Linked DNA regions of Neurospora crassa OR74A. The protein of the gene in region 5 purifies or fractionates together with the protein of the main gene of each other region. This does not show direct contact. Links are inferred from orthologs where the notes say so. Each region holds a gene or a part of one and is shown on either strand. Other genes may lie near its edges. The genes, in order: NCU09437, NCU04348, pod-5, NCU08668, NCU07011, NCU03952 and NCU09843.

Evidence for each region.
Region 1: the proteins of NCU07011 (region 5) and NCU09437 purify together in Saccharomyces cerevisiae (affinity purification with mass spectrometry; 5 studies listed by BioGRID). This does not show direct contact. The link is inferred for Neurospora crassa OR74A from reciprocal best matches to the Saccharomyces cerevisiae genes UTP21 and UTP22.
Region 2: the proteins of NCU07011 (region 5) and NCU04348 purify together in Saccharomyces cerevisiae (affinity purification with mass spectrometry; 3 studies listed by BioGRID). This does not show direct contact. The link is inferred for Neurospora crassa OR74A from reciprocal best matches to the Saccharomyces cerevisiae genes UTP21 and BMS1.
Region 3: the proteins of NCU07011 (region 5) and pod-5 purify together in Saccharomyces cerevisiae (affinity purification with mass spectrometry; 6 studies listed by BioGRID). This does not show direct contact. The link is inferred for Neurospora crassa OR74A from reciprocal best matches to the Saccharomyces cerevisiae genes UTP21 and UTP13.
Region 4: the proteins of NCU07011 (region 5) and NCU08668 purify together in Saccharomyces cerevisiae (affinity purification with mass spectrometry; 3 studies listed by BioGRID). This does not show direct contact. The link is inferred for Neurospora crassa OR74A from reciprocal best matches to the Saccharomyces cerevisiae genes UTP21 and ESF2.
Region 6: the proteins of NCU07011 (region 5) and NCU03952 purify together in Saccharomyces cerevisiae (affinity purification with mass spectrometry; 4 studies listed by BioGRID, with this or other methods). This does not show direct contact. The link is inferred for Neurospora crassa OR74A from reciprocal best matches to the Saccharomyces cerevisiae genes UTP21 and MPP10.
Region 7: the proteins of NCU07011 (region 5) and NCU09843 purify together in Saccharomyces cerevisiae (affinity purification with mass spectrometry, with the first as the bait; 4 studies listed by BioGRID). This does not show direct contact. The link is inferred for Neurospora crassa OR74A from reciprocal best matches to the Saccharomyces cerevisiae genes UTP21 and UTP15.

The regions. Positions count from the first base shown.
Region 1 is NC_026507.1:182,558-186,819, reverse strand, and holds the start of NCU09437 (hypothetical protein), read left to right. Parts: upstream 1-1,462; 5' UTR 1,463-1,547; coding exon 1,548-4,262. UniProt on the Saccharomyces cerevisiae protein: Involved in nucleolar processing of pre-18S ribosomal RNA and ribosome assembly.
Region 2 is NC_026504.1:3,692,681-3,696,772, forward strand, and holds the start of NCU04348 (ribosome biogenesis protein), read left to right. Parts: upstream 1-1,292; 5' UTR 1,293-1,392; coding exon 1,393-1,471; intron 1,472-1,529; coding exon 1,530-1,600; intron 1,601-1,666; coding exon 1,667-4,092. Other genes in the region: NCU16822 (hypothetical protein), read right to left, coding at 17-163. UniProt on the Saccharomyces cerevisiae protein: GTPase required for synthesis of 40S ribosomal subunits and for processing the 35S pre-rRNA at sites A0, A1, and A2.
Region 3 is NC_026505.1:1,894,631-1,898,871, forward strand, and holds the start of pod-5 (polarity defective-5), read left to right. Parts: upstream 1-1,441; 5' UTR 1,442-1,534; coding exon 1,535-4,241. Other genes in the region: NCU03627 (hypothetical protein), read right to left, coding at 1-919, 976-1,008. UniProt on the Saccharomyces cerevisiae protein: Involved in nucleolar processing of pre-18S ribosomal RNA.
Region 4 is NC_026504.1:4,159,950-4,163,268, forward strand, and holds NCU08668 (pre-rRNA-processing protein esf-2), read left to right. Parts: upstream 1-1,363; 5' UTR 1,364-1,537; coding exon 1,538-2,102; intron 2,103-2,176; coding exon 2,177-2,634; 3' UTR 2,635-2,819; downstream 2,820-3,319. Other genes in the region: NCU08669 (betaine aldehyde dehydrogenase 2), read right to left, coding at 1-366, 426-830. UniProt on the Saccharomyces cerevisiae protein: Involved in the small subunit (SSU) processome assembly and function, and in the 18S rRNA synthesis. Required for the early cleavages at sites A0, A1 and A2. Stimulates DBP8 RNA helicase ATPase activity.
Region 5 is NC_026504.1:4,898,662-4,902,610, reverse strand, and holds the start of NCU07011 (WD repeat containing protein 36), read right to left. Parts: upstream 2,801-3,949; 5' UTR 2,737-2,800; coding exon 2,599-2,736; intron 2,537-2,598; coding exon 1-2,536. UniProt on the Saccharomyces cerevisiae protein: Involved in nucleolar processing of pre-18S ribosomal RNA and ribosome assembly.
Region 6 is NC_026506.1:2,220,895-2,225,172, forward strand, and holds the start of NCU03952 (U3 small nucleolar ribonucleoprotein Mpp10), read left to right. Parts: upstream 1-1,478; 5' UTR 1,479-1,887; coding exon 1,888-4,266; 3' UTR 4,267-4,278. UniProt on the Saccharomyces cerevisiae protein: Involved in nucleolar processing of pre-18S ribosomal RNA. Required for the early cleavages at sites A0, A1 and A2 during 18S ribosomal pre-RNA processing.
Region 7 is NC_026505.1:5,923,452-5,927,558, reverse strand, and holds NCU09843 (WD repeat containing protein 57), read left to right. Parts: upstream 1-1,325; 5' UTR 1,326-1,507; coding exon 1,508-3,178; 3' UTR 3,179-3,607; downstream 3,608-4,107. UniProt on the Saccharomyces cerevisiae protein: Involved in nucleolar processing of pre-18S ribosomal RNA. Required for optimal pre-ribosomal RNA transcription by RNA polymerase I together with a subset of U3 proteins required for transcription (t-UTPs).

The DNA.
Region 1 (4,262 bases), on a different chromosome or scaffold from region 5:
GGTAATAAAGGTCGTAAGGTATATAAGTACTAAAATTCCTTTCTAAAATCACACTATTCTAATACGCAATATAATTTATCGATAGCGAAAAGACTAATCCGTTTATAGAATTCTAGGGACCGCAATACAGCCTTAAATTTCGTACTTATCGTAAGTTCCGGGCTCAATAGAATATAAGTATAATCGCCGCATTAAATTTAGTCCCAAATATCCCAGTTCTATATATAAATTAATAAAGGTACTTAAGATTCGTAAAAAAGGGCAGAATACTTACTTTTAAAGTCACATCTTTATTTACCTATACTAGCTTTAAATCTAGCACTTTAGTAATAATATTATTATATTAACTTTCTCCAAACTTAATTAACAGTATAATCTATATTGTAATTTTATTATATAAAGCTAAAAATATATATAGGACAATACTTTTTCCGTAGCCCATTACTGCGACTAATATTATATCCTTCTATTCGTACGCCAACCGTACTACCGCCTTAACCTAGCCTTTTCGAGGGTCTTTACTATTACTAATAATATCTTTTATTACCCGCAATATACGCTAGGGGTCAACGGAGGGATCGAAATTAGGATCTATAGTATTAATACCTATAGAGGATAGAAAAAATTAAGGAAAAAAAATAACGTACTATAGAGTAAAGAAAACTATACTACTATATTAATAGTCGTATAATATCTATACCTACAAAGTTTTATAGTATTGGGATAAAAAGCCGTACTGTAATATATAGCTAACTAGGCATTGAATATACGGACTTACGTAAAGTTTTTACATTTTCTATAATAATTAATACTTTCAATAGTCGTAGAAAAAAATTAATAATACCATTAAATCCGTCTCAACGAACTCTTTCTCCTCATATCTTTTGTATAACCTAAATCTATTGTTTTATTTTAACGCTATATTATCTTTCTTAGAAGTTTATCAATATAAATTCCCCTATCCGCTTCTAGTCTAATTGGGAATTCAAACCTCTTTTTTAGGCGTTCTTATTCAATACCGGAAAGTATACTAAAAGAATGGGTACACGGATCACAATTTAGAAACTTTAGTAACTTTCAATTTATTATTTTTTTTGAGAACCCCGGGCGCGCAGCGCACGGGCCAGATGTGCGCGCAGCGCACTTTCCCAGCGGCCGCAGGCCGCCCATGCCTAAAAAAGAGGGTCTGATTCTGAGATAAGGGCCGGGCGCTCACTGTCTGTCAGTTGAACCCCACAGGGGCAACCAACCAACATTGCCCCACCCGACTGCCCCTGTCGGGTCTTCCACTGCCCCTGTTTGTGGATTGACCTCTTATCTCTTATCGGAGCTCCAGAGTCTCAAAAAATTTGGGAATTCCCGTCGCAAACTTGAACGAGACTCGAATTTGCAGAACTTCAATTGGAGGGACGACGCTCGGTCCACTGTTGTTTGGCTTTCAGTGCTCTCTCTCTCAGTGTCTTGTCACTATCAATTTCCTGTCTCCATTCCCAGGACATCCTCCTCCACCATCACCATCATATACCTATACCACCGCCACACATACAATGGAACCCGGATCAGCAAAACGACGCAAGATTGGCCATTCACGCGGCGGTGAAAGCGCAGTTGGCAACATCGACGCCGCTGCCTCCTCGGGTCTCTCGCGTGGCCGCGCATTCATCCTCGAAGCCGAAGAACTCGTCGACGAAGTGAAGCTCGACTATGCCACGGCCCTCGAAGGCGTCGACTCCCTCCTCCACAAGATCAAGGGCTCCATCGAAGCCATCGAAGCCCACGATGCCCTCCAGATCGCCGAGGCTGCCACCAAACTCGAAAAGAAACACAAGATCCCGATCCCGTTCCCCGAGCCGCGCCCGTCCGACAAGTCCAACTACAAGGTCGCCTTCGCAAAGCCTTCCCAGTTCAACGTTGTCGGCAGCTATGTGTCCAAGACCATGATCAAGGCCCAAAAGAGCCATGCTGTGGATATGGTGGTTGTGATCCCCGGCGAGACTCTGCAAGAGAAGGACTACCTCGACCTGCGATACTTTTACAAGAGAGCCTACTTCCTCGGTGTTGTGGCTGCTGCCCTACAAAAGGACCTGGCTGATGATGGAGAGCTTTCATACGAATACCTGAATGGGAACACCCTGTCCCCCATTTTGTCGTTGAAACCAAAGGTGGAAGGAGAAAAAAAGGAGGGCCAGCTGGACTACAGAGTGCGCATCATCCCTTGCGCCCCAGACAACTTCTTCCCCAAATCAAAGCTTCACTTGGGCGCTACCCTCGTGCGCAAAGCTGGCGGTGACGAGTCCAAGGCCGCGACCAAGCCTACGCCCTTCTACAACTCGACGATTGTTTCCGAGTCCTGCTTCTTTCCCTACTTGAAGCTCTTGCGACAAACCGAAAAGAAATGCGCCGCGTTCAAGAAGGCTTGCATCCTGGGTCGGGTGTGGTTGCAACAACGAGGACTGGGAAGCGATATGGCGGACGGTGGTTTTGGTCACTTTGAATGGGCGGTACTTTTGGCCCTTCTGCTCCAAAGCGGCGACAGCACCAAGGGACATGCGCCCTTGTCTACATCCCTGAGCGCCACCCAGTTGTTCAAGGCCATGGTCCAGTTCTTGTCTGTTACTAACCTGTCCGAGAAGCCGTGTGTTTTGGGAACTGCCACCGTCGAGTCCGAAACCACTGGTCCGGTTCTCTTCGACGCTGTTCGTGGTTTGAACGTTGCCTTCAAGATGAGCAACTGGTCTGCGGCCAAGCTACACCAACACGCCAAGTGGACAAGGAGCCTTCTCAACGACAGCACTGCCGACCAGTTTACCCCTACCTTCATCCTCAAGGCCGACCTCCCCTGGCAAAACTACGACCTCATTGCCCACCTCAACTACGATGGAAAGCAGGACAAGACAGAACCGATTGACTGCCGGGGACGGCTATGGGAATACAGCGACAAGGTGCACAGGGTTCTCAAGCGGGCTCTTCAGGACGAAGAACTAGGTGAAAGGGCTCGGTCGATTCACATTCAACTACCCAAGAGCTCATCCTGGGATCTCACCAAGAAACCCTCCACCAAGCAGAACCACACAATCGAGATTGGTGTCCTCTTCAATGCCGCCAACATGACCCGCTCTGTCGACCGCGGTCCGGCCGCTGGACCTAGCAACGAGGAGAAGGAGGAATGCGCCAAGTTCCAGCGGTTCTGGGGTGAGAAATCGGAACTTCGTCGGTTCGAGGGTGATTCTATCAGGGAGACCTTGATCTGGTCGTCCACCTCCCCCTTTGACCTCTGCGAGGAAATTATGCGCTACATCCTCAAGCTCCATCTTCGCGTTGGCTACCTCGAGGACGAGCTCACCTTCCACGGCGATGGCTTCACCGAGTTGATTCCTATCAAGCCGACCGACACCTCCGTCTTCAACGCCGCTCGCAAGGCCTTTTCCTCCTTCGAGAAGGATATCCGCGACTTGGACGACATGCCGCTGCACGTCAGGCAAATAGCCCCCATCTGCCCCGAACTGCGACACGCCTCCGTCAAGGTGCCCTTCTCGACCGTCAACAAATCCGGCCCACGCCCCCTGGAATGCGTCATCTCCTTTGAAGCCTCCGGCAAGTGGCCCGAATCCATCGTGGCCATCCAACGCACCAAGATCGCCTTCCTGCGCATGATCGGCGACCTCCTGGAGCGTTCCAAGCCCGGCGAGGTCCGCTCTTACGTCGGTCTCGAGTCCTCTACCACCACCAACACGGAACTCGAGAACCTCGCCTACCTCGACATCGTCTACGAGTCCGGTCCTGCCTTCCGCCTGCGCATCCACTCTGACCTCGAAGAGGCCCTCCTCACGCGCCAATCGCACGACAAGACCATCGACCAACACCACCGCCACCAAGCCTCCGTGCTCCTCTCCAACTTCCGCAGACTCTACTACCACCTCCCTCTGCACACTCAATCCATCAACACCTTCGCCACCCGCTTCCCCGCCTTCTCGCCCACCGTCCGCCTGCTCAAACACTGGTTCTCCTCACACAAACTCGCCTCCCACTTCACCCCCGACTTCATTGAACTCGTCGCCCTCCAGACTTTCTTGAGCCCCTACCCCTGGGACGCACCCTCCTCCCCTTCCGTCGGCCTTCTCCGCGCCCTCCTCTTCGTCAGCAGATGGGACTGGCGCTCCGAGCCGCTCATCGTCGACACCAACAGCGACATGCCATCGTCCGAACGCTCCGCCATCGCCACCCGTCTCGAAGCCTGGCGCAAGATCGATCCGCTCATGAAC
Region 2 (4,092 bases), about 1.2 Mb from region 5:
AGTGCGGCATGCTTACAATGTAAGAAGGCATCTTTGCGGTGGTGGGAGGGTTGTTTGGTGAAAAAGTTGGTGTTGCTGTATGGAAATGTTGAAACAGAGTGTAGTGGTTGGTCGTGAACTTGGAAAGTCGGTACTGCGTCTCGAGGAGCGGACGAAGGAGCATCTTATACGTGATCAAGGGACATGCACAAGTGGACTCGAACTACCTACACCACAGATGCACATGTGCCAGATAAGCGGCAATCATGCTAGATTGGTCTTCCTGCCACGCCGTCAGGAGCCACAAGTGACGCGGCACCAGGGACATTAGCATTCTCTGGAGCGGATGATACGTCATATCCACTTGGACCAGACTTGCTGCGCCTACCGCAGGTCGTTTTGTGACTTGTGACACTCTTTTGGCTGCCAGGCGTGGGGATGACAGAGACAATCCTTCATCTCAGCGCCCAACAAGACAGCCTTGCACACAACCACCTAACGAGCGCTTAGGCGCGGGCTGAGACACTAGGAGTGGTGTGGGAGGATGGATCCAGTCATCTTCCGACCATCTTGCTACTCAGGATCTTGGATGTTGTTACCTATCTGTTGTAACTCTGAGCCTAGCCTATACGCCATACCCTCCTCATGTGTGTAAATCGGAAACCCTCCTTCCCGCGACAATTACGTATGTAACCCTCAAAATGGTGTGTTATGCAAGAAGGGCTGCCATGGCCCATGGCTGTTTGACTTTGCGGGCCCATTCGACGTTCCTATGTCGAGGCCGCAAGTTATCAACTATGATAGCTCTTTCATGGTCTCGACTCTTCTTCAACCGTTTGTTGGGAGGTCCCTGAACAATCCAATGCATTTACATAGCGTGGTATGTAGTCTCCACCAGTGAGGGAGGGCTTGGTACAATAGAGGTAGTTAGGTTGGTCATGCTCAAGACAGCACAAGATATCTCAACCACCCAACGGAATATCTTCGTATAAACCTTTGGAAATAGTTACTCCGAAGACACAGCTCACCCAGTAGTTGGTTGAAGATAAGAAACGGGACTATACGTTGGGTTCGTCTGTTGTTCAAGGTTCCAAGACTTGAAGGTCGGGACTGCCTGTCAGGGTCTCCAACTCCCCGCATGCTGCCACTGCTTAGTAGCGGGTGCTGCCGGGGATAGGTCCCGTCGCCTGCCGCGGAAAGAGGTCCCACTATTCAGGTATCTTATCGCTTATCGATAAACGTCTTGGCGTTCCATCAGAAAACCGACTATCCAAAAAATTTGGACAGCAGCTTTTTGGCAGCAGTTGAATTGGGAGCGAGTCCCGTCGCATTTCCACTTGCACCTGTTTTCGCGACCGCGTGTCCATCTATACTACTGAACTTGCAAAAAGTTCACGGACACCAGCCGTAATCATGGCCGACGTCCAAGCCCACAAACCCCATCGGGCTTCCAAGAAGTCCAAGGAGAAGGGGGCCTCCAAGCATACAGGTGGTATGTGTATTCAATTGTTTCTTTTATCGTTACTATCCACAGCTGACCGTCCCTGCAGAAAAGAACCCCAAGGCCTTTGCCTTCTCCAATCCTGGTAAACTCGCCAGACAAGCCGCCAGATCCCACGATGTAAGAAGACATTCCCTCGCTCCATCCTTCAATGACTTCTTATAATTAACTGGTCTTGTTCCGCAGATCAAAGAGAAGCGTCTTCATGTCCCCGCCGTCGACCGTCTCCCCGATGAACCACCCCCAAGACTCGTCGCCATCGTAGGCCCCCCTGGCGTAGGAAAGACCACCCTTCTCAAGTCTTTCATCCGACGATATGCAAAGGAAACCATCCAAGATCCGGTGGGACCTATCACGGTCGTCACCTCCAAGAAGCAGAGATTGACCTTCATCGAATGCGCCAACGAACTCGAGGCCATGGTCGATATTGCAAAGGTCGCCGACATTGTCCTTCTCATGATCGATGGAAACTTCGGCTTCGAAATGGAGACTATGGAGTTCCTTAACGTTCTTGCCGCCACGGGTATGCCCGGCAACGTCTTTGGCATCCTCACCCATCTCGACCTGTTCAGGAAGCCCCAAGCACTAAAGGAGGCAAAGAAGAGGTTAAAGCACAGACTTTGGAGCGAACTCTACCAGGGTGCCCACCTTTTCTACCTTTCCGGTGTCCTGAACGGCCGTTACCCCGATCGCGAAATCCACAACCTCTCCCGCTTCTTGTCCGTCATGAAGAACCCCCGCCCGCTCGTTTGGCGCAACTCCCACCCTTACACCATCATCGACAACTACCGCGATGTCACCCACCCCACCCAGATTGAAGAAGACGAGAAATGCGACCGAACGATTGAACTCTCCGGTTACCTCCGTGGTACAAACTTTTCCGCCGAGGGCCAAAGGGTACATATTGCTGGTTTGGGCGACTTTACAATCAAAGAGATGGAACAATTGCCGGATCCTTGCCCGACTCCCGCTATGGAACAAGCGCTGGCCAAGGCCAGTGGCAAGACTGGCAGAAGGCGACTCGACGAGAAGGACAAAAAGCTCTGGGCGCCCATGGCGGACCGCAGCGGCTTGAAAATTACTGGCGATCACATCGTTATCACTAGGGAGAACGGCTTCACATTTGACAAGGATGCTGTGGGCATTGAGCGCGGCGAAGGAGAACAGCTCATCATCGACCTGCAGAACGAGAGGCGTCTCCTTGGTCAAACGGACGAGGGTGTCAAGCTGTTCGCGAGCGGACAAAAGATCAACCAGCTCCCTGTCGAGGACGAGGATGTCGGAAACACTGGCCGCAAGAGCCGAAGAACCGCCAGACTTGCCGATGGTGAGAGTGGTGAACCGCCAGAGGACGAAGGCTTCGAAAGCGGAGAGGAAGATGAGATGGAGGATGGATCCGATGTCGAGTCCGAGTTCAACGAGATGAAGCTGGGCAAGATGTTCAGGAAACAGACCGACGACGACCAAGAAGAGGACATCGCCTTTGCCGACAGTGACTCCGACCTTGGTTCGATATCCGGCGATGAAGACCAAGGATCCGACTTTGACGATGACGAGGACGACGAGGAGGATCCTGAGCTCAAGTGGAAGGACAACATAATGGAGCGCGCAAGTCAGATACACGGAAGGAGGAAACCCTTCCGCGCTGTCGACTTGGCGAGGTACATGTACGACGAGTCGATGGCCCCCACAGAAGCCATCAAGAAATGGGCCGGTCAAGACGACGAGGAGGAGATCGAAGAGAATATCGAAGAGGACGACGAAACCTTCTTCCGGAGGACTGGCAAGGAGGACAAGGAGGACTCTTGGGAGGATCGCATGATTCCCAAGTTCGACTACGAACAACTAGAAGCCAAGTGGTCTGACAAGGACGCTGTCGAGGCTCTCCGAAACAAGTTCGCCACCGCCAACCTACTTGACGACGCTGAGGGCGAGGGCGAAGATGGTTCGGATTTCGAGGGTCTTGATGACGAGGACGACGATGATGAAGGTGACGGTGCCTTTGAGGATCTCGAGACAGGGGAGAAGCACGGCGCTGACGACGAGGATGAAGAAGAAGAAGAGGAGGAAGGAGAGGAGCAGCCAGCAGAAAGCCTTGAAGCCGAGCGTGAGAAGAACGCCCGCCGAAAGGAGGAGCTCAAGCTTCGCTTCGAAGAGGAAGATCGTGAAGGTTTCAAGAACGACAAGGCGATTGCCAGGCGAGAAGGTGGCAATGATGACGAGTTTGGAGAGGACGACTGGTATGATGCTCAAAAGGCCATGATCCAGAAGCAGCTCGACATCAACAAGGCGGAATACGAGAACCTTGATGAAAGCCAAAGGATCGCTGTCGAAGGCTACAAGGCCGGCAAGTACGCCAGGATGGTCATCGAGGGTGTCCCAGCAGAGTTCGTCAAGAACTTTAAGCCACGGATGCCGATCGTTGTCGGAGGTCTTTCGGCCACGGAGGACAGATTCGGCTTTGTGCAAGTTAGAATCAAGAAGCACCGTTGGCACAAGAAGATTCTCAAGACGGGAGATCCCCTCATCTTCTCCCTCGGCTGGCGCCGATTCCAGTCTCTTCCCATCTACTCCATCTCTGATTCTCGGACGAGAAACAGGATGCTGAAGTA
Region 3 (4,241 bases), on a different chromosome or scaffold from region 5:
TTGGTGTCGGTGTTCGTGGCTGAGTTTCTTGTCGCTGTTGCTGCTCTTCTGGTGTGGGTGTGGGAGGGATGTATGTTCCACTGGGCGGTTGTAAATAGGGGACTACCTCCTTAAGAGTCCTCCTCCTGCTGAAGTTGATGGGTTTGGGCAAGCGTCGTTGGATTTTCCGCCTAAGTGACCAGACGAGCCGGGCGTATGTCTTTGAAAAGAACCAGTAGCCGGCAAAAGGGGCGATACCGGCGACAAAGGCGCCGAGCCAGCTGATGATGCTTCCAGGGGTAAAGGAGGATGGGAGTTTTGGTAGGAAGATTGGGGAGTCATTGCAGCCTGGAATGAAGAAACCAAGGGTGGGAACCCATCTCGAGGTGTTCACAAGGCCGGTTCGTTGCATGAAGACGAAGATCTCTAGGTGTAAGTTGACCCAGGAGAACACGTACTTGACCCATGGGTATTCTGGCATGTCGAATCCAGCAAAACTATCGCTCAGGACATACGATGGCAGCCCGGCCCAGAGGTACTCTCCCCATGACTGCTGGCGCCTGTGAAAGTGAAATAGACGAGAAAAGGGAACATGGGCGTAGTCCTTGTACAGCAAGATACGCTGCCTCAAGCCGTTGACTCCCCAGACTCCGACGGTGGCCAAGACCTCGCCGGTGAGGAACAGCTTCCTCCCAATTCCATCTTCGTAGTACTGGTGCTTGGTGGCGGCTTCGTATAGAGCTTGGGCCTCGTTGATGCCACTGTCCGGTTCGGCAACGCCGATGACCAGCATAACCTCGTTGTGAGAGCGGATGATGTCTCTGTTGATGCGCCGTGTCTCTGGATTCACTGGTCGTCCTCGGTCATCATACAACTGCTCTGGGGCCCCGGGTTGGGGCTCGCCAGTGCCCTCAACTACCTCATCGTAGGGAGACCGGCCCTGTCCTTAGTGTCAGAACGAAGTTGTAGCCCGAAAGTCTTGCAACGATGACTTACAAGGGCCTGTGATGTCAGTGGGCCCAACCGCATCGTGAAAGGGTCAACTGGATTCAGGAGGTGTTTGTAGATTACTATCCGGCATTGCCAAGATGTTTATGTGTACATTACACGGTGAAATTTGACCAGTCAGTGGCCATCCTCGTGTAACAAACTAGGTCCTGTGCCAGAGATTGTGTTATGGTGAAGATAGTGGTGGTATAGCTGATGAGTGATGGAGACTGGAACAGACAGTTGACGTTGGTGGGGGCGATTGGGGAGCACAGAAAGCCGAGGGAGGGTCATGCTCCAGTTGCTCCAGTGCTCCAGCGTGGTTCGTCACGGATTCCTACAGGGGTTGGATCTGCATGGCGCTAAGATAACCTTATTGCCTGGCCTTATCAGCGGGCGGCAGGCAGCGACCCGCGAAAAGTTTTTGGGATTGGGGACTTTGCAGTGTACCACCCTACACTTGACGTTCTAACAGCAGAACCCCAAAGGCGGCGGCGCGCAATCGCAACCCTCCTTGCCTCTCTGTTTGATTTAATCCACTTGTACAGCCAGACACTCCGTCACCACAATGGCGTACAGGCAAACCACCACCAAGACGACCTTCGAGGTCAACAATGTCATCCAGCCCATTTTCACAGGAGGTTCCGTAGCCCTCGACAATGGCGCTAGGATCCTCGCGACCACCCTCGGCGAGCAGGCCGTCCTCACAGAGCTCAACACCGGCAAGCAGCTCGCCGAGATCGAGGGCGACGGAGAGCCCATCTCGACCCTCACCATCACCCCTTCGGCCTCCCACCTGATTGTCTGCTCTCGTTCTCTTACTATGCGCATATACTCCCTCAAGGTCTCACCAGATTACGATTCCATCGAAGCCACCCTTGTACGCACCACGAAGCCCCACGCCACCCCCGTCGTGGTTCTCGCGGTCGACCGAACTAGCACCCTTCTTGCCACCGGTGCTGCCGACGGCGCCATCAAGATCTGGGACATTGTCGGAGGATACGTTACCCATACCGTTAGCGGCCCGAGTGTCCTTATTTCTGCCCTCCACTTCTTCGAGATTGCCGCTCTCGAGGACCAAGCCAGCAACAAGAACAAGAAGAACAGGCGAAAGAGCACAGCCGAGGAGGAGCAAGCTCAGGATGACAGCGTCGCTTCAAAGTTCCGTCTTGCCTACGGCACACAGGACGGCAAGATCCGCATCTTTGACCTCAGCAAACGCAAGACCTACCCCGTTTACGCCGACCCGACTTCGAGGAGAGAAGCGCACGAGTCCAACGTACAAAGCCTTGACTACTCACCAGAACTACATGCCCTTCTCAGCGGTAGCAGAGATAAGACAATGACAGTATGGCTGTGGAAGGAGGGGACATGGAGGGGAACACCCATGTTGCGCCATGAAGGCGTTGAAGCTGTCGGCTTCCTCAACAACGGAAGCTTGATGTATTCGGCTGGAACAAGTGGCCTACTTAGGCTATGGGACACAACCACACACCAAGAAATCACAGCAAAGCAAGACGCCAAGTCGGAAGCCGAGTCGATAGTGTCAGCCCTTGCTCTTCCCCACAAGAACCTTGTTGTTTGCGCCCAGTCTGACTTCACCCTCGCCCTCTACCGCACACCTTCGGTCGCCGATGCCACCAAGAAGTCGACGAAGCCTCTGGAACCCTTCAGGCGCATCTCGGGAACACACGACGAAATTCTCGACCTTGTTTACCTTTTGCCCGATCAGTCTCTCATGGCTCTTGCAACCAACTCCGAAGATATCAGACTTGTATCCGTGGCGGATAAGCAGCCCCAGCTGGGCGACGAGGAGGAGGGCGCGGCATACTTTGGCCATGACGTAGCTCTACTCAAGGGACACGAGGATATTGTCATGTCTCTCGATGTAGACTGGTCTGGCCACTGGGTTGCTAGTGGTGCCAAGGATAACACAGCTCGCCTCTGGAGGGTTGACCCAGCCAATAACTCGTTCGAGTGCTATGCAGTCTTCACTGGCCACATCGAGTCTGTCGGCGCTGTCGCACTCCCCAAGATCGTACCTCCCGAGAACTCGGAGGCGTTCAAGAACCCCCTCGACCACCCGCCCGCATTCCTCATTTCCGGTTCCCAGGATCGGTTCGTTCAGAAGCGTGACATTCCCCGAACATCACAAAAGGGAGCCGTCTCAACCAGTCTCCGTCGCTTAGCCCACGAGAAGGATATCAACGCTCTCGACATCAGCCCCAACGGAAAGCTTTTTGCCTCGGCATCACAAGACAAGACGGTCAAGATCTGGGATTCCGCAACATTAGAAGTCGTAGGTATCCTCAAGGGTCACCGCAGGGGTGTCTGGACGGTTCGGTTCGCGCCTCAGGGCATGCCTGCCATTCAAGGCGAGACCGGCACTGCTGTTTCCGGTAAGGGTGTAATCTTGACGGGTTCTGGTGACAAGACCATCAAGCTCTGGAACCTCTCGGACTACACCTGTCTGCGCACATTCGAGGGCCACTCCCATAACGTCCTCAAGGTTGTTTGGCTGCGCCTTCCCAAGGCCGCTGACGACGCTGAAGACGAGGCTGCTGCTGCCGCCTCCAAGGCCAAGCAGCGCATCCAGTTCGCCTCTGCGGGCGCCGACTCCCTCGTCAAGGTCTGGGACGCCAACCTTGGTGAGACCGAGTGCACGCTCGATAACCACGAAGACCGTCTCTGGACGCTCACGGTGCACCCCAAGACCAATATGCTTGTGTCTGGTGGTTCCGACTCCCGCGTAACCTTCTGGAAGGACACTTCGGCTGAGACCCATGCCGCCGCGTCCTCGGCCGCCCTCAAGCTCGTCGAGCAGGAGCAGCAGCTCGAGAACTACATCCACGCCGGCGCCTACCGTGACGCTATCATTCTGGCGCTGCAGCTCAACCACCCCGGTCGTCTCCTGGGTATCTTCACTAACGTGGTCACTACCAACGCCCCCGAAGAGGGCTCTCTCTGCGGTATCAAGGCCGTCGATCAGGTGCTTGGTAACCTCTCCGACGAGCAGATTTTCCTGCTCCTGCTGAGGCTGCGCGACTGGAACACCAATGCGCGCACGGCGCCCGTGGCGCAGCGCATCCTCTGGGCGCTCGTCCGACTCTACCCTGCCAACAAGTTCTCCAACCTGTCGGTCAAGGGCGCAAGGGGACAGAAGAGTCTGAAGGAGGTGCTCAACGCGTTGAGGGTGTATACTGAGAGGCACTATAAGCGCATAGAAGAGCTGGTGGATGAAAGTTACCTTGTTGAGTATACTTTGCAGGAAATGG
Region 4 (3,319 bases), about 740 kb from region 5:
GTCGACAATCTCTTCGGCAGCCCAGGCAATATCGACATCACCGCGAACATATGCAGGATCCTTGCCACCCAGCTCGAGGCCGACGTTGACGATGCGATCGGACGCGGCCTTCTGGACGGCCAGGCCACCAGCAACCGAGCCGGTAAAGCAAATGTTGGCAATCTTGGGGTTTCGCACAATTGTTTCAATCACTGTCGGCGAACCCGAGTGGAAGTACTGGATGACTCCGTCGGGCAACCCAGCCTCGGAAAACACCTTGGCCACCTGCTCGACAATTGTGGGTGTCTGAGGCGAGGGCTTGAGAATGACCGAATTTCCAGACAATAAAGCGGGAATCAAGGCGTTGACGAGAATAAGATAGGGGTACTGCGCAAAGTTAGAGGTGACGGATGGAGTGTCAAAACAACATGATGGACACCACTTACGTTCCAAGCAAAGATGATGAGAACAGGACCAACAGGCACCTTTCGGATGAACCTCTTGAATCCCTTCTCCTCCTCGCCATCGGTGTCCTTCAGAGCATCGTTGCTGATCTTGAGCAGATACTCTGAGCGCTTGATGGCAGTGGCAACCTCCTTGGCAGTATAAGCAATGGGGCGGCCCATCTGGACGGTGAGTTCCTCTGCAAGTTCATCCTGCTTCTCGGCCAGCAACTTCAAGGCCTTCTTGACGATGATCTGTCTGTCCTCCAACTTGGTAGTGCGCCATCCTTGGAAGGCCTTGAAGGCAGTCTCGGGCAGTTGGACGAGTTCCTCCTCTGAAATGCCATTGCGAGTGATGATGGGTTCCCCCGTGGTGGGAGAGATGGTGGTGATCACCTCGACCGACATTGTTACAAGTAGGCTTATCGGCCAGGTATCGAGTGATAAGGATGGTGAAGTGGGATGCAGTGTTGGTTGTCACAAGGAGGAAGAGCGAGTCAAAGGGAAAGAAAAGACACAGTTCAGTTACTCTAGTACTTAGTACTATAATTCGTTATACCTTCCACAAGAAGAAAAGAGCAAACCGACTTGATTCCCATGACCCAATGACACCATGTCGCCCCTCCCGTCGCCGTCTCACTAACAAACAGGAACACGACATCACACTGCCGCACACAGAGTGGCTCCCGCTCCGTTTCTCGGCGGCAGGCCGGGGGAGCTTTGATAAGATAAAGAGTTGTTGGCAGCGCGGGGTCGGGTCTGCAGTGTATGAACTCCACCTCGGAAGGAACCTAAGGCGGGGACGGGATCAGCCAACCTGAACTTCCATTCCCATTCATACTTTGTTATCTCTTATCGGCCCTGCGTGCACGGTCCCTTCCTGCCTGTGGCCCCCAGTGGAGCCAGAAATTTTGAGAAACAGCAGCAGCCATGTCCGTCCAGCGCTTCCACGCCAAAAGAAGACTTGCGAATCGCGTCGTGATCCTTCTCCAACGCAAACAAACACCCGACTGCCCTAAATCTCCCCATAACGACCCAATCATTCAACCTACGAAACTTTCAGCATACAACAAAAAGTCCACCAATTAGAAACACAAGTCAATCATCCATCGACAATGCCGGAGGACGATGTCAGAAACAAGTTCCTCGATGCTGGCGATAGCGACGACGATGCGGGCCACGGTTCTGACTCGGAGGATGATTTCCAAAAGGGTGGCCGTAACGCCAAGCGCAGAAGAGTGAGCGATGACGAGGACAGCGAAGCCGACGACTTTACCGACGCAGAGGAGGAACACGACCAAGATGATGCTGAAAGCAAGGATGCACCTGCAAAGGACGGCCAGGAAACAACAGATGGAAAGGAAAAGAAGGATGGAAAGAAGGAGAAGGAGAAGAAGTCGGTACTAGCGAGTGACCTTCCGGGCATGACGAAGCCTCTCACAAAGAAGAATCTCATCGTCACGGAGGAGGCCATCAAGAAGTCGGGAGTGGTGTACATCTCCAGGGTACCACCTTTCATGACTCCTGCCAAGTTGCGCTCCCTGCTGGAGCCGTACGGAAAGTTGAATCGCATTTTCCTGGCCCCCGAGGACCCAGTTGCGCGACGCAAGCGCATTCGCAGCGGAGGCAATAAAAAGAAGATGTTTACAGAAGGCTGGATTGAGTTTGTCAAGAAGAAGGGTAGGTCTTCATTCCGTGAGACTCGCTGAGACCCAAGTACAAAGACGCTAACAAGAAAACCCGTTTGTTTGCAGACGCCAAAAAGGCATGCGAACTCCTCAATGCCCGTCCAATCGGAGGCAAGAAGGGATCCTACTACCGCGACGATATCTGGAACTTGCTCTACCTCAAGGGTTTCAAGTGGCACAACCTGACCGAACAAATCGCTGCTGAGAACGCCGAGCGATCCAGCAGAATGCGCGCCGAAATCTCCAAGACAACCAAAGAAAACAAGGAGTTCGTCCGCAACGTGGAGAGGGCCAAGGTGCTGCAGGGCATTCAGGCAAAGAAGGCGTCCAAGGGCAGCAAAGCGGGCGGTGAGGGTGCCGCCCAAGTCACAGAATCTACTATTCCCTCGGCGGCGGCAACGACGACGACGACAACAAACGACGATAAGAGGAGAACATTCAAGCAAATACCCTTGGCCAAGAAGAGGAAGCTCGATGAGACACAGCCCGAGCAAGTACAAAGAGTGCTCAGCAAGATCTTTTAACCTTCTCGTTTGGCCCCCGAACAATAGGTTTGAGACACGGAGCGTTCATGTACCTGTGGGATTTCTGTCGTCAAAGCGACTCCGAGACATTAGAGATGGGTGGTGTTGATTTTCTTTCCCTTAGGCAATTGTATATATTTTTCTGCCTTCAGTCATCTTGATACCCAACCTGATTTCCTTTTGCTATGAGAGCATCTCCATTTCCGTCACTTTGTCATATCCCTACTTATCGACGCTGCACAGAAACCGGCCGGCGTTTGGTTTAATTGGCCCACCATGAGCACATTCCAAATCCCAGCCACGAGGAAGAGTGCCCCTGACGATACGGTCAACACTCGATACAACTTCACCAATTGTCCTGTCGCAAATGCTGTCAAAAGGGGATCATATTTAACGACTCACCCGACTTACGCCCTTCGCATACTTCAAGGACTCATCCAGCGTATGCTTGACGTAGATGAGGAAGGTTGCGAACATTTCTCAAAACGTCGCCTGGACACCATACTCCAATATACGTCCTGGTCAAACTATATCATCGGGCATATCCGCCAAGACCGCTCTTGTCGTTATTTGAGTGAAGATCAGATGCACAAGTTCTTCCATGCATGTATTCAAACGGTCGAGGATGGCTGTACCCTGTGGGAACATATATACCTTTTGAAACCTAGTTGCTGTGCTGGGCGTG
Region 5 (3,949 bases):
AGAAGGGCGCCTTCTCAGGCGCCTTGGGCGGCTCCTTGGGCTTGTTGCGCTGCTTGATCAGGTCAATGTGCAGCAGCGTCTGCCACCTGCTTTTGGGCACCAGACTGAGCGTCACCATGTCGGCGCTGAGCTGATCGAGGACCGGCGCAGACACGCCCTCATCTTCTTCGTCCTCCTGTTCATCCTCAAAGGCCGCCTCGATGAGACCTTGACCGCCCTCGCCTGAGCTGGTAGGTCCGGCCGAGATTTCGGCAATGTCTTTCTCGGATATTTGTCTGGTCGGCACGTGTCTGAACAGCGTTCTGTTGGTCCAGATGTGCACGCCCAGCTCGCCCTCGGTGGCGCCGGCGAGGTATTCGCCCGTGTTGGAAAAGGCGATGGCGGTGCAGGGTTTCTCGAGCCGGAAGGCGTCGATGAGGTGAGCCGTCGGCAGGTCCCAGACGCGGACGACGCGGTCCTGCGAGGCGGCCACGATCCACCGGCCGTCGTTGGAGAAGGTGAAGTCGTTAATGGTGTCGCGGCAGCCCCAGAACTCTCTGATGGTCTGCTTGGTCTCGATGTCGACAACGCGGATCGAATTGTCGTCGCACGCGAAAGCGATGAGATCGTTGCCGGCGTGGTAGCGACAGCCCGTGATCTGCACCATGGGCGCCCAGTCAATCTCGTCGACTAGGTTGCCCGTGACAAAGTCCCAGAACTTGACGGTGCCGTCGAGAGAGCAGGAAATCACGAAGCGGTTTAGCGGGTCGACCACGATGCCGGTTACGGACTTGGTGTGCTTGCCCGAGCCGGGGGCAAAGGAGGTCTTGGAGGAGGCGCGCTTCTCGAGCTGGCTCACCTTGTCGAGAGCCTTAAGTTGCTGCATCTTCAACTGGCGCATCTGGGCGGGAGTGAGTCGGGAGGGGAAGCGTTGCTTGTGACGGCCGGATTGGAGGTTGAACATGTCTAAGCTACCACCAACGGAGCCAACAAGAGCGAAACTGCCGCAAGGGCTGATAGCCACGGTAGAAACATTTTCGCCATCTCCGGTCTTGAACGCCCACCTACCAGCACGCTTGCGGCCCCAGAACCAGGTGCGAGCCCAGGGGTCGTTCTTATGAGCTGTTACTACGCTTTCCCAGCCGGTCATAGCAGCGAGCTCGGACTTGGTCGGCTTGCTCTTGTCATTGCCCTTGTCCCAGATGACCTGCCTACCGGGCATAGCGCCCATGCCGCCATCGCGGTTGAGCGAGGAGGCGATGCATGTGATTTCGGGAGCCTTGAGGTCGTCCAAAGATGTAGTCGGGCCGTGGCCGCCGAGGGCGGTATTAGCAAGAATACCCACCTTCTTGGCCTTTTTGCGAAGAGCACCCTGACTGAGCTCAGAGCTCTGGCCATCGCGGCGCAAACTCCAGCCCCACAGACTCCTGTCCTTGCCACCACTGAGAAGCCACTTGTTGCCGGCCTCGGCGCCATCGAAATCGGTTGGCAAGAATTGCAGGCAGTTGACGGGGGCGGCATGGCCGCTGCGCATGTGAAGGATACGGGGGACGGGCGAGAAGGGCGATTCGTCGAAGATCCAGGACTTGAGCGAGTTGTCCAAACCACTGGTCATGATAACGGGCTGTCCTGGGAGGAACTCAACCTTGCTGATGCCTCCGCGCACAGTCTTGTCGGTGTGTGATGGGGGATTATGGGCGCTCCGGAGTACACCCATCACTCTGCCGCCCTTGTTGAGATCCCAGAATGTGACATCTCCACCAATGCTTGTGGCGGTAGCCATGACGCCATCTTTTGTACCATCTTGACCAGCACCCTGACCGTCGGTTCGGAAGGAGATGCTTGTAACGGGGGCGTGTTCGGATCCGGCCATCAACTTGAGGGAGGCCTTGTCGGTAAGGACGTTGTGGATGACGAGAGGGCCGTTCGAGTAGGCGATGGCGAGAAGCGAAAGTGCCGGGGTAGGCTCCATACAGGTGACAGATCCAGCGTCGGGAGAGGGCGGAAGGATGGTGTAGATGAGCTTGCCGGTGCTGACGTTCCAGATCTCTACCCAACCGTCCTTGCGACCGACCAAGATCTTGTTGAGGAAGGTAGGCATGTTGACTACGCCACCAGTGAGCTCGTTGTCGCCCTTCTTTGCGGCAACGGAAAAGATGGTCGTGTAGTGTTCGAGGGTGGCCGACTTCCATACTTCGAGGCGGGTTTGGGCGCATGCAACAATCCAGGAACCGAAGATGAGGATCTGCTTGATGGGCTGGTTGAGGTCGGCGGGCAGCTCAAGCTCGGCTACCTTCTTTCCGCGCTGATAAACCCAGATACCTTGGGCCTCGCCATTTTGAGGGTTACCCCAAGCGGCGAATACCTTTTCCTTCCAAGCATATGTGGCGGTAATGTCGGCGGGAGTCTGGGGGCGGGTAACGAAGACGAGATTGAGACCTCTCTTTAGGTCATAGGTCTGGAGGGAGCGGCCGACCGAGGTAGTGATCTGGAAGGTGGTCTTGCCGAGAGGGATGGAGGTAAAGGGGACGCTTGTTGGAGATACCAAGCCTACAGTCTATGAGTGGTGAGTTTGGTGTTAGTTTGAGGACTTCATGCGACCGGCTATTAGGGACGTACTCTGAAGGGAGCAAAGATGGAGGAACCCTTCTTCTTCTTCTGAGGCGCCTTGGACTTGACGACAGAGGCATTGAGCTTCTGCCGCTTGGCGGATGTGATTTCGCGATCGGAATGCGGCATCATGTCGTCGAGTGGCATATGCTGCCAACTACCACGATGTCTGCGAATGCCTTTCAGTTGCAAAGCCTTGTTGAAAGTCGCAGTTTGAAGATTTCGATAATAGTAGCCTTGTCGCGGTGGACCAGAAATTTTCAGCCACAGTTTGGGGTCGGTTGGGGCAGGCAAGTGGGAGCTTCATGTGATTGGTCTGCCTCGCCATGTGGGGTAGCATGAAAGCTGGACGCATGTGGGACCACCGTCTGGCTAGGACCCACAGAGCTTAAATCCAGCACTGTGTATCTGTGTACTGCATAGTAGGAACCTCCTGCGATCCCGGCCGCATTTTGCAGCCTTTCAGTTACCGGGATTACCGTTTCCCATCATCGCAGAAGTCGAGACTGTGTTCCAAACTGCAGTAAACCCCACACCTCCATCTGCCCCGCCAACTGGGCGAAAAAGCTCTTGCTTGTGAAACACAGCACAGCACAGCACAGCACAGCATCACCATCCCCTGTCCGCTTCAGCGTCGAAATGCTAGGTTGCCTGCGGCGTCATCATCCCGTCCATCGAACCCACCTCAGGTCGTCCACCCATAGAGGTACCACGGCATACGGTTCGCAATGACACCCACCTTCAGCGTTCTTCTGGATTTTCTCTGCGGCTATCGCAGTATATCATAGGGCGCCAGCAAGGGTTTAGTTTGGCATGACACCCACCTTCTGGTACCAGTAGTCAACGCGCAATGGGCTCTTTGGTGTCCATCATTGTCGATCACTAGAGAGGTTTTTTTTTTCCTGTGTCTATCCAAGCACGCCAATGACGAAAGAGACTGGACCTCCAGTTATGACGACGAAGTGGCTGTAAATATAACCGAATTAGACAGTCCAACACGGCTCGCTTTAGTCAGGAAAGGCCATCACAGAATTTCGAGAGGGATGGTAAAAAAAAAAGTCGAAAAGACATCAGCCAGAGTTACCTGGGAATTTCTCCATGCAAAATTGCCTGAGAGTTAGTCTAGTTTCCAAAGGTAGCATGAAAAGTGTATTCTAACGACCATTCATTCGGTTGATGGCCATGTAGTACCCGAGAAAGTGCCAGCCTTTCTGCCATGAGCTACCAAAACTCCGGTGTAAGGGAATGAACTAATGGTGGGATCCAGATGCACTTACACGTAGACGTTCAGAATTGGGACTAGTAGGTACTACCGGGTCCGTTTATGGAAATTGCCCACATGCCGCCTTTCCCTCTTGCT
Region 6 (4,278 bases), on a different chromosome or scaffold from region 5:
CTCTCACCCTCACATAGAGCCTGCCAGAAGGGAGGCGGATATGGAAAATAGAAAAGAATGAATCGGCCCGTCCGGATTTTCACAAGGAGATCTCCTTCGCTTGACAAATTAGGTAACATCCGGCAACTCAAAAGTATTTCCCGTCCCTCCATCTCGACGTATCTTCCAGCTCTGTAACCAAACAGTGTGCGATTGGCAGTTACATAGTGTGAGCCAACCGAAACTTCTCTCGCGACCTCCTGTACGACTTTGGAAATGTTGCCGTTAACTTGGCCATTCTACTCTAGGTAGGTAGCAGAGATAGATGGTGTGATGCGATTGGACCGAGCAACGCCACTTAGCGATCAAGTTCATGTGTCGTACTATACAGGAGGCCACTGACACTTGATGGGATCCTCGCCGTTCACGACAGCAAGTTAGTGGTTACATAGCAAACATCTTCACCGTGAGGTTCACAGTTATTTCCCGGCGAACATGAAAAAGAGGTCATATTGAGAGCACGCAACGCACGACCATAGAGGCTGGGATCACCAAAGCCACCATCGCCCTCACATTGACCTCGGCAACCGCTAAAGAACATGATACAATTCCCTGGCCTGGGATACGAAGGTCTTGAGTATCACTCGCAGCTCGGCTCGGCGGGACACTCTCCCGCGAGTTGCATTCAATGAAGGCTTAGACGGTCCAGACCCTAATGCAGCACGTCAACGCTGCTGTCGTATTTTGAAAGAATACCTCATGGTCCGTCAAAATTCTCACGGGCGATACCATATGCATAGGGATGTGGCTTGTGAAGGAACTTCAACAAGTGTTATGACTTGCAGCATCTTTCCCCGAAGGTGCGCAAATAACACCCTTACATTTCTACTATGTAATAAGAGCTTTCTCTGCACGTTATCCAGACCATGAAGAAGAGCCGGCTGGGTAAGTAGCCTACCTCTACAGAAAATAGTCCATCAACGTCTGTCGCAGAGATCTCATTACGATGTTGAAAAGAACACGAGAAGCATACTGTAATGTAGCTAGTATGAGGCAAACCTAGCGCTCTTCCTCAATGGGGTTAATCGTTGGTTTAACATTTTACAGTTCTTGCACAATTTAATTACCTTTTACCGTTTGACAAGAAACTTCCAGTTACGACGAAAGTGAAGCGGCGAAAGATACAATAGACTATGTACGAGCTGATGGGATTGATAGGGTAGTCTGGAATTTTAGATAAGGAAGTGCTGATAACAAGCTAGGTGCCTGTGTCGAAACGGCGACTTCACCTATCCAACAGCACTGGAGATCGTTGCGTGATTGCTTACTGAGTTTCCAGTAACTTCAGAGTAACTCGCTAGCGTATGCTATATTTAAAAAAAGGTCATTGTGAATTCATCCCCTCTCTCAAGCTTGATGTCGAGCATCTCCTTTGAGACTGCATGCACTTTGTGGTTTGTTTACTTGACATTGTCATCCGATTATAAGTGTTAAGGCAACCTCGTCTTATAGCGGTGCACCGCCCTGAAGCTTAACAACAAGAGAAGTGGGACCTACTTCCATTTCCAGAGAGCAGAATCACCCATCATTGGTCAATTCACAGCCAGCCCCATAAGCTGGTGCGGGGACGCCTGCCTCCACGCTTCGCCGTTTCCTGGACCTTGGAGAGCGCTATGGCAGAAAAAATTTTGGTCCATCAATATCGCCGGCTGGCAACCAAACATCGTCAGGTCGAACTTTTTTTTGTTTTGGTACGGGCAACGGCAAACACCGACGCCCTGCCATTTCTTAGTCAAGCGTCCATATTGAACCCTCAAGTCAGACACTTGTATGACAAGGCCAGCCTCGATACCCTAGCCTTGATTGATCTTCTTACAGCATTAGTCCAACCCTACCTAAAAAACAGACATGGCAGCTGGCAGCATAACCTCTTCCGTAACCTCGACATCCCAAACAATCACCCACGACCCCTCCACACACAACAGCGTCATGGCCGCTACCCTCGCCGCATCGTCGAGCGGCAGCACCTCTCCTTCGACAATTGCCAACAACCCCGTCGTCGCCTCCTTCCTCTCGGCCCTGGCCGACGAGTCCAACCGCCACGTCTTCCTGCAGCCGCCCTCGACCCTTCCCGCCGGATCCCTCCTGCTCGCCAAGGAGACCCTCGACGCGCTCGCCTCGCAGGTCAGTGACCACCAGCAGGCAAAGCTGAAAGAGATCGCGGCCACCATCGGTGGAAAGAAGCGCAAGCGTGAGGCTGGCTATGACAAGAATGCCGTGCTCAAGATTCGCAAGCTGCACGTCGACGACGGCTTCGAGACGGAGCAGATTTGGCAGCAGGCCAAGAAGATCATTGCCAGCGCCACAAAGGAGGCTGGCGATGTGCTGAAGGAGCTGGAGGAGAACGGGATTGTGGGCACCGGCGAGGAACAAGAGAAGACCATTGAGTTTGGAGAGGATGGGTTTGAGCTTGGTTCTGATGAGGAGGAGGAGGACGATGAGGAGGATGCTGATAGCGAATCTGGTTCTGGCTCTGAAGGAGAAGAGGATGAGGAGGATGACGAAGAAGAATTAGAAGGAGAAGAGGGCAGCCAGATCGACGACGATGAAGAAATCGAGATCGATGGCGAAGAGGTTGAATTCTCGGACGAAGATGGAGAAGGAGAGTTTGATGAGGAGGAGGAGGAAGAAGAAGAAGAAGAAGAAGAAGAAGAAGAGGAAGAGGATGCGCCAGAACTTGTCGAGGATCCCAACGGCCTCAACGACGGCTTCTTCTCAATAGACGACTTCAACCGGCAGACACAGTTGTGGGAGGACGCGGATGCCCGTGCGGACCCCAACGTCGATGCCGACAGCGACGACGAACAGCTAGACTGGCACGCCGATCCTTTCGCGACAAAGCCAAAATCAAAGAAGGGCAAGAGCGACAAGAAGAAGGACGAAGACCAGGATGAGGACGACGTCGACATGGGCGATGAATCCGAAGACGACGAGGCCCTCGAGGCTGCTGCCGCCGCCCACGCCAAGAAACTCAAGGGCAAGAAGAACGTGGAGCAGCTCGAGGACGATGGCGACGATCTCGGCCTTACAGATGGTGTTCTCGGTATGGACATGGACCTTACCGCCAACGACATTTACTACAAGGACTTCTTCGCGCCACCTCAAAAGAAGAAGACCGGCAACCAAAGGAAAGGAGGCTATTTCCCCAAGAAACTTGAGCAGCCAGATGAGGCCGATATGGAGAGAGCCGAGAATGATGTGCGCCGCGATCTCTTCGACGACATCTCGGAGAATGAAGATGAAGATAAGCTCTCGGATCTTGATGCTGGTGATCCGAGATCTCGCCGGTCCGCCCACGAGCGCAGACAAGCCAAGATTGCCGAGGAGATCCGCAGGCTCGAGTCTGAGCTAGTTGCCAAGCGCGCCTGGACTCTGTCCGGTGAGGCTTCCGCGCAAGCTCGTCCCATGAACTCGCTCCTGGAGGAAGACCTCGAGTTTGAGCATGTCGGAAAGCCTGTCCCCGTCATTACCGAGGAGGTTTCCGAGACGATTGAGGCGCTCATCAAACGCCGCATTCTTGCCAACGAGTTCGACGAGGTTCTCAGGAGACGTCCTGACACCCTCAATAACCCCAACAACGCGCGCCGCGGTCTCGTTGAGATCGACGACACCAAGGGCAAGCAGTCTCTCGCCGAGATCTACGAGGAGGAGCACATCAAGAAGGCCAACCCGGACGAGTACGTCAGCGCTTCGGACGAGAAGCTCACGCGCGACGAGGCCGAGATCAAGAACATGTGGAAGGACATCTGCGCCAAGCTCGACGCCCTCAGCAGCTGGCACTACAAGCCTAAACCCGCCGCACCCACCATCAGCGTTGTCACCGACGTCGCCACCGTCGCCATGGAGGACGCCATGCCCACCACGGCCCAGGGTGTGTCGGGTGGCGAGAGCACGCTCGCGCCCCAGGAGGTGTACGCCCCCGGCAAGGACTCAGTCGAGAAGGGCGAGGTCGTGGCCAAGAGCGGCCTGCCGATTGCCAAGGAGGAGATGAGCCGCGAGGAGAAGGCTAGGAGACGCAGACGCGAGAAGGAGCGCATCCGCAAGGCCGGCGGCCTGGATGCGAACAAGAACATCAGCAAGGGTGCCCAGGAACGCAAGGAGACGATGAGCCAGCTCAAGAAGGGCGGTGTCAAGGTTATTAACCGGAAGGGTGAGACGGTTGGGTTGGATGGCAAGAAGATCGCGGAGCAGAAGGGTCCTACGTCGAGTGGTGCCTTCAAGCTTTAAAGGTCGGGTTGT
Region 7 (4,107 bases), on a different chromosome or scaffold from region 5:
GGTGTTAGAAAATAAAATAAATAAAAAAAGGAATGAAAGGATACACGGCATGTCTCTGTCCGCTATTCTTGTATCTATATCATGAATTAGCCGTGATCTAAACCTCTAGGCCTAGGTCTCAAGGAGAATTCGAGTAGGAGTAGTACCATGTCTCTAGCAGCAGCAGCAGTATGGGTAGGTATCAGCGGGCCTCCCCGTCGTCGTCGTCATAACTTATACTATCCAACTATGTTAAAGCACCAGATTGTAGATAAAGACTAGAACTTCAGTTTGACAACCTGAACACTTTGGTGGCCCTGAGACTTCATTGTGTTCCTTCTCCTTCGTCGGTCATCCGCCTCGGGGGTGCAGTGTCTTCAACCTCATCTGCTCGGCAACTGAGTTGCAGTCATGACAAAGAAATTAATCATGTGATCGGATGAGAAGCGAGTTTCACATTGCTTTTCTCCATCACGACGAGCAGCCAGCGCGTTTGATGATCTCCGAAGTTTGATCTTTTTTTCTTTTTCTTTTCATCTCTTGATGATTTTGTTTTCTCATCTCAAAGTCACGAGTAAAAAAAAAAAAACAAACTGCGAGTAGCCGGCTTGTGACGTTGGTGTTTTTGTTGCACAAACCGTTATCAGTTTCATACGAGTTGTCCAGGCGCTTGTTATTGACTGAATGGAGTGTAAAGAGAAAAGGTTGTGACTTGTAATTGATATTCTCCGTCTTCACTCTAAGCTTAGCTCATGGTTCAAGTAGTTTTCATACGCGCTTCGTTATAAATACATCTGTGGCTAGATAAAACATTCAAGTCATCATCAATACGCACGCTGTTGTTGTTGTTGTCAGCAACAGGTTACTAGACTACCAACTCGCTACCATTTCGAGGCCAATGCTCCAGATACACATCCCTAATGACATGTTAATCATAGATTCACATACCGAGGAGATGATGATTGTCAATGAGCGTGTCATGCATCAAAATACTCTTGGATTTTTACTCCAGTCAATTAATTATATGTCAGTCGACTGTCTCCAGTTGATAAAGGCGACAACTTACACGACTTACAATCACGACGGCGGGGATGCAGCACGATAAGATAACGCCAAACATTCACACGACATGGAAGCCCAAGCAGACCAATCAAAAGAAGGAACTTGTGAAGAGGACGGGACCCTGGAAGCTTGGCGTTTTCTGGCCTGGGGCTGGTCACTATGGTACCTAGTCGCTGTAGGTAAACTTTATCGGCTTGGCGGGGCCTCCAATCGATGGCTCCAACCAATGGCTTTTGCATCGCATCGCCGTCAAAAAAACTAAAATTCCCACTTGGAGATTTCAACAATTCGTGAACTTTGAGCCCCGCAAAGTCACCACCACGACAAGACCTCGACGCGTGCCTCCCTCCCCCAATCCGATTTCGACCCTAATCGACTTCCCCCGATTCCGATAACCGAGTATCCTCTCTTCAACACTACCCGAACTAGACGGAACGAACCTACCACCCATAACCAATCCGTAACCATGGCAGCCGAAGTGCAGCCGCTGGCGACGCTCAAGTTGCCCACGGTCGTCAGCCCCATCACGGCCGAGCAGCGCTACTGGAAGTCCTTCAAGAACCAGAAATCACACACCTCGACGGCAGCATGGCCCATCTCGCACATCAGCTTCCCCGGCTCCAGCAACGGCTCGGCCGCCTCGCACTCCCTCGTCGCCGCCGCCAAGACCAACGACCTCTTCGCCGTCACCTCGGGCCCCCGCGTCGACATCTTCTCCATCCGCAAGCGCGAGCTGCTCAAGACCATCGGCCGCTTCGACTCCCAGGCCCACAGCGGTGAGATCCGCGCCGACGGCCGCGTCCTCGTAGCCGGCGAGGACTCCGGCAAGATGCAGGTCTTCGACGTCGGCACCGGCACCCGCGCCGTCATCCTCAAGACCTGGCACGTCCACAAGCAGCCCGTCTGGGTCACCAAGTGGTCACCTACCGAGCTGACGACGCTCATGTCCTGCTCCGACGACAAGACGGTCCGTCTCTGGGACCTGCCCTCCAACGCGCCCTCGCGCCTGTTCGCCGGCCACCAGGACTACGTCCGCAGCGGCGCCTTCATGCCCGACCGCAACAACCTCCTCGTGTCCGGCTCCTACGACTCGACCGTCCGCGTCTGGGACGCCCGCGCCCCCGCCGGCTCCGTGCTGACCTTCAAGCACGCCGACCCCATCGAGGAAGTCCTCCCCTTGCCCGGCGGCACCACCCTCTTGGCCGCCACCGGCTCCGCCATCTCCGTCCTCGACCTCGTGGCCGCCAAACCTTTACGCCTCATCACCAACCACCAAAAGACCGTCACGTCACTCAGCCTCGCCTCCAACGGCCGCCGCGTTGTCTCCGGCTCTCTCGACGGGCACGTCAAAGTCTTTGAAACCACCAACTGGAACGTCGTCTCCGGCTCCAAGTACCCCTCGCCCATCCTCTCTCTCTCCGTCGTCGCCGCTGGCTCAGGCCACGAAGACCGCCACCTAGCAGTCGGCATGCAATCCGGCGTTTTGTCCTTGCGCACCCGTTTGTCAGGCGCCACGGCGGAGAAAGCCCGCGCCCGCGCCGCCGAAGACGCGCTCATGGTTTCAGGTGCCTCTTCCAAGCTCGCCAAGATCGACTCCGCCAAAGCCAAGCGCAAGCGCAACGCCGCCTCCAACAAATCCATGGCCTTGCTCGGCGAAAACGTCGACGTGATCATCCCCACCGACGCGCCCAACTCCGCCGGAGGCCGCAAGCGCCGCGTCAAGCTCAAGCCGTGGCAGCGCGACTTTCGCGAGGGCCGGTACGCCGCCTGTCTGGATGCCGTGCTCGACCTGTCCTCTCCGGAATACCAGCCCGTGACGGCCCTGTCCGTGTTGGTGGCGCTGCGCCACCGGTCTGCCCTCCGCGAAGCCCTGGAAGGCCGCGACGAAGTTACTGTCCTGCCTTTGTTGAAGTGGGTCATCAAGTACATCTCGGATCCGCGGTACGCGACCGTGTGCGTGGACGTGGCGTTCCAGCTGTTTGATATCTACAGCGAGTACGTGGGCGGCAGCTCCGAGTTGGCGGATCAGTTTGCTGTGATGACGGGTAAGGTGAGCAGGGAGGTGGAGAAGGCGCAGATGGCGATTATCACGAATGGTATGGTGGAGAGTTTGATGATTGGTGGTGCTGAGGCTTAGGAAGCTGAGCGAGCTTCGGACAAGGCCCTTGAGGCTGCAGTTTGACCAGAAGAAGGTCATGATGGTTGGAAGGGAAAGGGAATGGAAAGATACGGATGAGCTGTGTGGATGGATGGAGCATAAGAAAGATGTAAAGAACGGATGGGATGTGTTGTTATACCACAAAGCAGGAAGGACGGGGAAGGGGGAAAAAAATGGAGAGGGTAAAGGATCCCGGATGTGTTGGTTCGGTTTGGTTCGGTTAGGTATCATGGTTTTTTCTTGATATCAAGCCCTGCATGGCGTCGGCGTTCAAACATTCTTTTTTGGCTTTTTGTACTAATCTGGGCTCACAAAAGTATACATACGGTCACATAAAATAAGGGGTTGGGACTAGATACCTCGAGATAGATACCTTAGGAGAATCAGTAAAAGCCATTCCAAATGCCAGGCTTATTGCGTGACCATGGACTCTTCTGGACGACGCCACCACGATCAAGAGCTTTATTGCAGTGTCAACATTCAGCGTATCCAATAGAATTATGACTATAAATGACAACGTAAACATCTCGCTCCAAAGTCCTCGCTGAAGATCGCTTCAACTTTCCACTTAGTCATAGTCCTCCCTCCTGACTAGGAGAATAGAATGAGATACAGAAAGAGTCTCTCCGGTGAGCCACTCACCACCCTCTGGTATCTGGCCAGACATCGAAAAGAACTCCCGGTCTGCCTCTGACGCCTGCTTTTCCAAGTGCCTTCCTAGGGCTGACTGTTGACAGCCCGACCAGAACTGCTGTCCCACTCTGTCATTGAAGACCGCCTCAATGGCGAGCCGTTCCCTTCTCGGGGGGTTTCCAACACGATAATACTATGTCGTCGTCTTTTCTGTTTTTTGCAGCCAAGGCATCAACCCAAGATGTGTTTGAGCATCAGATGCTTGCCGAACCAGC